Sus scrofa: one gene and its partner. The protein of the gene in region 1 interacts with the protein of each later gene in a biochemical or structural test. Links are inferred from orthologs where the notes say so. Each region holds a gene or a part of one and is shown on either strand. Other genes may lie near its edges.

Region 1 (3,805 bases):
AGGAGGAGGCGGGCAGCAGGGGGGCAGTGGGTGTGCAGCCTGGCTGGGAGCAGCCCCCAGGGAGTCAGGCACTTCCTTGGAACAGTCTAGTCACTTATGATGACAGCTCACGGGCCAAAGGCCCCGCTGGCACCACCATGCTCTGAGCAGAGACCAGACAAGATTCTGGAGCCAGCAGTACTTTGGGGACTTGAACTCCTGGGGACCCAGCCTGCAGGACCCCTCTGCCCGCTTCCTCCTCCAGAATGGCCAATGTAGGTTTGGGTTTGTTTGCTTTGCTTTGCCCTCTGGGGGTCTCAATCAGGATGGAGGGTTTCCCCTGGGGAGTCAGGGTGTGGGGCTGGGAGGGAAGAGCCGGGCGTCCACTGCAGGGCTGGGCTCTGTCAGCATCTCCCTGCTCTGTTTCCCCCCCGCCCCCACCCCGAGCCATCGTGGAGTCACAGCAGGTGCCCTGCAGTCCTTCCCTACTCTGGGCCCCTGTTTCCCCAGGGACTGCAGGGCACTGGGCAAGGTGCTTCCCGGCTGGTGGTCTGTGGAGTCCGGCCCTGACTGCTGGTGTTCAGCTCAGGGCCAGGGCAGGAGGCCGAGTCTCCAGATCCGTTTTCCTCCCTGGCTGCTATGGGCTTTTGTCCTGGGGGTCCGGAGGGAGGGCCAAGGGGCAGGAAGTTGTGGTCTGCTGGCTGGTTAGTAGGCAAGTGGCCCACGAAAGCCACCGAGACAGAAGCCTGGCCCAGCTTCACCAGCTTGGACATGGGAGTGGACAGGCCTGCAGGGGCTAGGGGGATGAGTGCCTCGTGCTGGGGCCCTGAGCAGCGAGCCGAGGCCCCGGCCTGCTGCTTGTCACCCTGAGCCATGGGTAATTCCTGGGTGTTAGGAATTTCTGGGGCTGCTTACAGAGGAGGGTGTGAGCTTGGTGGCCTAAGTGCGCTGCAGGCCTGGAGATTCAACTTTTCTGAGTTTGCTGAAGGCGGGCTGGGCCCAGCATGGAGCCAGTTGGGGCAGTTTGTGGCATCTCTGCCCTTCTTTACCTCTGATTCTTCTTAGACCTTGAAGAACAACACCTTCTCTTCCCAGAACCCCTTTCTAATGCCTCTTCCTGCGGGAAGCTCTCCTTGATTTAGACTCCTCCCTGCCTCTCCCCCCAACGCCCACTACTGAGACTGTGAGGGGAGGCTTAGGGCAGCGAAAGGAGCATCAACGACCCTTGACTCTGAGAAGGGTCAGACCTGCCTTCCCCAAGTGTGTGTGGCCTTGAGAAAAAGCCCCGCCGATTCGCTAAGCTCTGAAAATGGGGCTGTGATCTGTGTGGTCAGGGAAGTGGGGGCTCCTTTCCCCAGTCTCTGAAGTTTCAGGGGTCTGTGGGGAGGGACAGGCAGACTAGGTGCTGAATCTCTCTAGGCTGCCCCCAATTTGCATTTGCCTGGCAGTGTGGGGGCGGGGTTTTCCTTCCTGGAGACTGGATGGGAGCCAGGCTGAGAGGCACACAGCCCTGCTCTCAGCTCCACTCTCCCCACCTCTCTGCTTGCTTCTCCCCCAAAGTGCCTGGGGTGAGCCAGGAGGGGGCTGCCTGGCCCCAGGACCCACTCCCTAGACTAGGACGGTCCTAGGAGACACTCTGTCCCCTCATAGTCCTCAAGTAGTACCTCCTGCCCACCAACCTCCTGCGCCAGCAGCTCAGAATCCATTCCGGGGGTGAAGAGAAGAGAGTCCAATGATCAGGAGGAACAGGATGGGCTGAGCGGTCTGAGCCGTCCAGGCGGCAGAGAGGCGGCTGTGTCCCGAGAAATCCCCAGGATGCCCCCTCCCCCCATCCTGGCTAGGAGGTGGACCTAGAGTGTCCTGGGTGTGTCCTAAGTGCGTGTTAGGTGTGCCCTGGTCCTGACCCTCAGTGCACACCTCTCCAGGTGGGTACAGGAGGATCACCTGAGCCCACAGAGTGAGGCTGAGGTGGCGTCTGCCACATGGTGGTGGATCAGGAACAGCAATTGCTGTTGTCTCCACAGAGGCTGTATAGTGTCAAGGAAAGGGCGTAGACCTGAGCCAGACAGCCTGGGTTCAGTGCCAGGCCTGCCACGTTCAAGCTGTGTCACCCCCGGTACACGTCACCCAGCTGCGCCTCAGTTTTCTCACCTGGACACCTGAGTAATTGGGTAATTGAGAAGGTGACAGGAGGGAGCAGTGCCAGGCACCCCATAAGGCTGTCATCACGGGGCCTCTGTGGGGGCCTTTCCCATGGCCGTCCTAGGTTAGGGTTGCTCTGTCCTGGCCTGTGAGCGCTGATCCACGCGGGGCCCACTGACACCTGGTACCTCCACAGACAGGGGCCCCTACTGTGTGCTGTGTGAAACTAGGTCCTGAACCCCAAGAGCTTGCTCTTGAATGGGGGAGATAGACCAGTTTTCCCAAGGCTGGAGAGAGGGGTCCTCGCCAAGCTGTACTCAGTGTCCCCAACCTGCGCAGCCCTGCTGTGACCCTCACGTCCCTCTGTCCTGCATTCCAGTGCAGGGACTTCACGGCCCACACAGGCTACGAGGTGCTGCTGCAGCGGCTGCTGGATGGCAGGAAGATGTGCAAGGACGTGGAGGAGCTGCTGAGGCAGAGGTGAGCCCTGGGCGGGGAGGGATGTGGCCGAGCCCGCAACCCAGAAGCTATCTGTGTCAGGAGTGTGACTGTCCTGTTCGTCCCAACCTGGGCCTCCCTGACATGGGCATGTGTTCTGATGTTCCTTCAGATCTGCCTGTGTTTGGCCAACACTCATCTAGAGAAGGGCTGGGGGCTTAACCTTCCCAAGGAGGAGCCCACAGGGCCAGCCAGCCCCCAGAGGCTGAGCAGGTGGACGCTCAGGTCCCCTGCAGCCAGCTGTCTTGAGTCAGGATGGCAGAAGTGGAGGAGACACAGCACTTGTGCTGTCCTTGCAGGGCCCAGGCGGAGGAGCGGTACGGCAAGGAGCTGGTGCAGATCGCCCGGAAGGCAGGTGGCCAGACGGAGATCAAGTAAGAGCCCTTCTGCTTTGCCAGGCACTTTCTGGGCTTTTGGACGGGGTTTAGGGCTTCTGGGCATGAGGTGGACGGGGCTTGGTGGGTGGCAGGGGGAGTGCGCAGCCAGAGGAGGGGTGCCTGGAGGATCACCCTTTGGGAATCGGGCCCTGTGGGTGGGTGGGGGGAAGACAAGCCAGCAGTCTGAGCGGCAAGGAGGCCCTGGGCAGGGGGCGGAGGTCATCTGTCCTCAGGTGCCTGCAGCACAGCCTGCTCAGCCTGGGCGGCCTCCATCCGAGCCCTGAGAGCCTTGAATGGCAGTGTTGGGCTCCTTGGGCTTCCAGGAGGGAGGTGTGGCCTGAGATGGGGCGGGGGCAACTCCTCACCCATATTAAATGTGTGACCCTGACGGTGACCTTGACAGTGACACTCTGCGCCTCTACTTCCTCATCCTCAAGCAGGATGATAATACAACTGTCCTCAGAGGGTTATTTGGGTCCAGGGCTCCGCTCAGGCCTGGCTCAGTGGGGAGGCAGTGAGGGCAGTGCCTCTGTGAAGCAGCTGAGCTTCTCTGGCCCCTGGCTGCAGACAGCGAGGGAGGATGCTGAAGGGGAGACGGTGATGGTTCGAGGGCGGCTAAGGAGAACTTTCTAACAGTGGAGTGAAAGGGCTGCCGTGGGAGGTGTGGACGCTCCTTGCCGGGTGAGGACTGAGCCGAGGGGCAGACAGGGCACTAGAGTCTGTGTCCTGGAAGGGCTCTGAGAGTCCTCCTCCTCCTCCTGCCCAGGAGCCCGAACACCTGACCCAGGCTGCTGCCGCCATAACAACCC
Region 2 (4,558 bases), on another chromosome or scaffold:
CACAATATATAGGACAATATACAATGTACATGAATGACTTGTGAAACTAGACACTGTAGCTGTTTTACTACTGTTAGATCTTTATAATTAGTGAATTGTATTACCATCATCATCAGGTATTTATAATCATGATAATAAGGAACACCTACAAAGCCACCACTGGGTGCAAGCCCAGTGTACTTACACCCATCAGGTCATTTAAATCCCATGGACACACTAGTGCAGTGGGTACCACTACCGATATTTCTACTATCGGTAGAAATGAAAAAACCAAAGCCTAGGGAGACCCAAAGATTCCTGTGAGTGCAGGAGACTGCTGGCAGGAGGGTGGCCTCCAGCAACTGGCACTGTTCACCACCTAGCCTTCTGCACAGGGGTCTTCAGCACTGCTCACTGTCCCAGACTGGACCCAGACCCAGATGGGCATGATGACATGTACCACCTGGGTATTATGTGTTTATATTTACTATGTACATTTTCATACTGAATAAATTACATGTTTTGTTTATTACACATTTGTTATATACAACATCTATTTTTATATCTGTATATTTCTTTTATCTATTTGTCACATACTTAGGAATTTGAATAACTGCTTATTTTGTAAATTCCATGTTGTATTTGTTTATTCTATTGTTTTATGAACTTTTTGTTTGTTTGTTTGCCTTTTCTAGGGCTGCTCCAGCAGCATATGGAGATTCCCTGGCTAGGGATCTAATTGGCACTGTAGCTGCCTGCCTATGCCACAGCCACAGCAACACTGGATCTGAGCCGAGTCTGTGACCTACACCACAGCTCACAGCAACACCAGATCTTTAACCCACTGAGCAAGGCCAGGGATCGAACCTGCAACCTCATGGTTCCTGGTCGCATTCATTAACCCCTGCGCCACGATGGGGACTCCTTATGAACTTTAATGCTATGAAAATTATAATGTATGATCATATTTATACAGATTCACTATAGATGTTATATGTATTAATTTCATTAATTTGATTCTGTTAGCAATTTTTATTGTACTTAATGATTATCTAGTCATTTATTAATGCTTATACACATATATTTGTTAAACTTATTTTTAAATTTGAGATATGTCACCATATATTGTGTTTACATATTTGCACAGCACGTTTCTATGTTATATTTAAAACATCTTAGCACGTGTAGTATGTGATGCCCATGACGCTACTGCATCACCACTCCATGCGTATAGCTTGCATTACTCCATTGTCAAGTTTCGAATATTACCATTAGTGACAAAGTCGTCTGTGAAGTGAGCTCTCAGGATGTGCTTAGCGCTTTTTACCCACACTGGTTATTTTAATCCTCAGGTCAGTTTAGTCATCAACGTCCGCTACTCACCCAAGGAGAAACCGAGGCCAGAGGGGGTAGGTAAAACCCCCCGGGGCCACAGCGCCTATCTGAGCTGGTGACCACACCCTTGCCGCAGCGGGGCCTCTTGGTTCCTCTTCCCCTAGCCCCTTCTTCCCCAGGACCACAGGAGTGACCTCCGGGTCATCAGGAGCGGCCGGGTGTCGCGCGTCCAGCACAGGTGCACGCCCGCCCTCCCCCGCCCAGCCTGCCCAACAACGGGATGGTTCCGGGAGCGAAGCGAGGGCTCCAGGACCCGAGGGCGTGTGCGGCCCCGCCCAGCCCAGCAGTGGACTTCGCCCTCCGGGGCTCTGCGGACCAGACGGTGAAGACAGGGAGAGATTGCGACAGAGAGAGGTGCTGGGGAGAGAAAAAGACCTGGAGGCGAGGAGACGCCCCTGCACGCCAGAAACAGAGGCAAAGCGCAGCAGAGCGCACAGAAGAACAAACGTCCAGATCGTCCAGGGCAAGCCCGCGCCGCCGTCCACACTCGCCCACTCACGCTGAACTCGCCGGCGAGGACCGCCCCCTCCCGGCCGCCCCGCGCCTCCAGCTGCTCCAGGAAGCTCCGCACCGCGTCCAGGCTGTGGCTCATGGCGCCGCCGGCCAGCAAGGTCCCGTCCAGCTGCAGCGCTCCGCGCTCCTAGCTAGTGTAGACTCCGTGGGAGGATGCCGAGGCCCCGCCTCCAATCTCGCCAGCTAATGGAAGTGCGCAGCGACGGGCAGGACACGCCCCTAAGCCAAAGACCCTCAGAGCCTGTCCCCGCCCCCGCCCACAGGCTCCAGGACCCGCTGCTGGGCCAAAAACTTGTCCTGCCCCGGCGCTTCCGTTTTTTGTGGCCACCGCGCGGGCTTGGCTGAGTCCGCACGATCCCAGGGACACCTCCTTCCTCGGACCCGGGAGTCCGCGCCGGGGCATGCATGACAGCGAACCTTCACCCGGCCTGGTGTCCTGGGAGCTAGGTTTTGTCCAGATCCGAGAAGGGGTGGTGCGGCAGCTGTGGGTGGAGCTGGTCGCCTAGTTTGAGCTGCAACTTGTGCCTGGCGGACCCCGCGTGGGGACCGTCCCGCGTTGTGCACTCCGGCGGGGTCCGAGAGAGGTCGGGGGAGGTAGCCGCAGGGGAAAATGACACCCGGGCACCTGGGCTGTGGGGCTGAATCCTTGTATTTCTTAAGATTGCTTCTTTTTCTGAGTTGTGCAAAGAAGAGTTGAGGACGCCAAAATCCAGTCCAAATTTGAGGATCTCAACTCACATAAACCTTATTGGAAAATGAGTACCGAGGCCTGGAAGTGGGTTCAGGGGACTAGGTGTTCTCCACGCTTTTAAAAGAGTTGTTTGTGTCTTTTGTTGGTTTGTTTTTGCTTTTTTAATGGCCGCACCTGCGGTATATAGAAGTTCCCAGGCCAGGGGTGGAATGGAAGCTGTGGCTGCCGACCTAGGCCAAGCCACAGCAACGAGATCCAGATCCCAGCTGCGTCTGCGACCTATATACCACAGCTCTCTGCAATGCCAGATCCTTAACCCACTGAGGCCAGGGATCAAACATGCATCCTAGTGGATACTAGACCGTTTGCAAGCCGCTGAGCCACAACAGGAACAGTTTCAGCAGCTTTATTTGCACTACACTCTGGTCTTTAAAAATGTGAAAGCTAGTATACAGCCCCTAAGAGAGGCTGGAGAGGGCAGAGAGGAGCCTGCCCCCTTCCCAAGGACCCGCCAGTGTAGATGGGCTCATCCACCCCTCACCTCAAGGGTAAGGGGTGTGGATAAAGTTCATTAGCGTGCTGTTTAAGTCAGGGACAGGCAAACTGTTTCTTAAAGGGCTTGGGTTCTTTAAGAAACCTTGTCCTTGTCCCAGCTACTCAACTCTGCCATGCCTTGTGAAATATGTAAAGGCATATGTAAAGGAATGAGTGTGATTGTATTGCAAACTTCGTGGGCACTGAAATTTTGTCACAAAAGTTTTGGTGGTCTGCAGGCTGTGGTTTTCTGATCCCAGTTTAAGTGACTGAGGTGAAAGCAGGTCAGTGTTTCTCTCATTGAGCGATTAGTAGAAATCACTGTTGACTGTTTATCACCATCACCTGTGAGAGTTCAAAGGGGGTCAGTAGTGATCACCAAGGATGGACATTGATAGTGAACTCATTGAAGGTATTCACACAGACTATCCATAGATGTCAGCAGCGGTCACTGGGAGGTCAGAGTCTGAAAGTAACCACTGGGACTTGGAATGTTAAAGTAATTGAGGTGTCAAAAGAGTCAGGGAAGGTCATCGAGGACTCCTATTCAGGGCTGATAGTGAATGTCAGTGGGATCAGAGATTTCTTGGATGGCTGCTGGAGACACAGGGTTGCAAGACATGGAAATACCAGCAGACTTTGAGGCTCACTGGAGAAGCCAGAGACCCAAATCTTTGAGTCCTCATGGACACTAATGGCAGTCACTTGGGGGTAGTGGATACCAGAGTAAAGGGGTGGGGGAGAGCCACCGTGGGAGCACAAAAGGCCTTTATGGACCCTGCTCATGGTGGATGTCATTGGATGGCAATGGTCACTGGAAACCGGTGATATCTGGGGATCAGAGGCAACACTGAGTCAGTGAGCCACCATATCATCTATGGTGGTGACAGGGAGGCAGGGTGGTTGACCCAGCAAAAGGGTTCTGGCCAGCTGGGTATCTTGTGTTCCACTTCCAGCTAAGGGTCTGCCCAACAGGATGGGATATATTATGACTACTCTCTCCCTGGCTTGGGGGGGCATCTGTCTGTCCAGAGGGCTTGACTTTCTTGTAGGCTGGGTCTGTCTTCCTGGCAGAGCTTAAGTCTGTCAAGCTGAAGGTCTGGCTAGCTAGTTGACTGCATAGTGGGGTGTCTCTCCACTGAGTAACATCTTTGTCCAGTGGCAGGGCCCTCTGTTTGTTCTTGAGTGATTGTCTGTTGGCTGGCTGGAAGTGGGGTGGGAGGGACACAGGTCTTTCTGGATGCCTGTCCAAGAATCTGCCTGGCTGTCCTGCTGTGGTCTGTTTGTCTCGCCCTAGGACTCTACCTGGAAATCTGTCTTACCAGGTGGCTATGTGTCTGTCTGCAAGCCTTTTGGGGGATCCTTCTGCCTAAGTGGCCTGTGAATAGAAGTGGCTAAGACTTTCAATCCACCTGCTGTGCTTCCAGCATTGGGTATCTATCTTTC

Evidence for each region.
Region 2: the proteins of PSTPIP1 (region 1) and PTPN18 form a complex in vitro, tested with the Homo sapiens proteins (2 studies listed by BioGRID and IntAct). The link is inferred for Sus scrofa from reciprocal best matches to the Homo sapiens genes PSTPIP1 and PTPN18.

Annotation. Positions count from the first base shown.
Region 1 is NC_010449.5:57,123,357-57,127,161, forward strand, and holds part of PSTPIP1 (proline-serine-threonine phosphatase-interacting protein 1), read left to right. Parts: intron 1-77; exon of another isoform or gene 78-245; coding exon of another isoform or gene 246-254; intron 255-2,500; coding exon 2,501-2,601; intron 2,602-2,918; coding exon 2,919-2,993; intron 2,994-3,805. UniProt on the Homo sapiens protein: Involved in regulation of the actin cytoskeleton. May regulate WAS actin-bundling activity. Bridges the interaction between ABL1 and PTPN18 leading to ABL1 dephosphorylation.
Region 2 is NC_010457.5:31,963,701-31,968,258, forward strand, and holds the start of PTPN18 (tyrosine-protein phosphatase non-receptor type 18), read right to left. Parts: upstream 2,872-4,558; 5' UTR 1,967-2,871; coding exon 1,874-1,966; intron 1-1,873. UniProt on the Homo sapiens protein: Differentially dephosphorylate autophosphorylated tyrosine kinases which are known to be overexpressed in tumor tissues.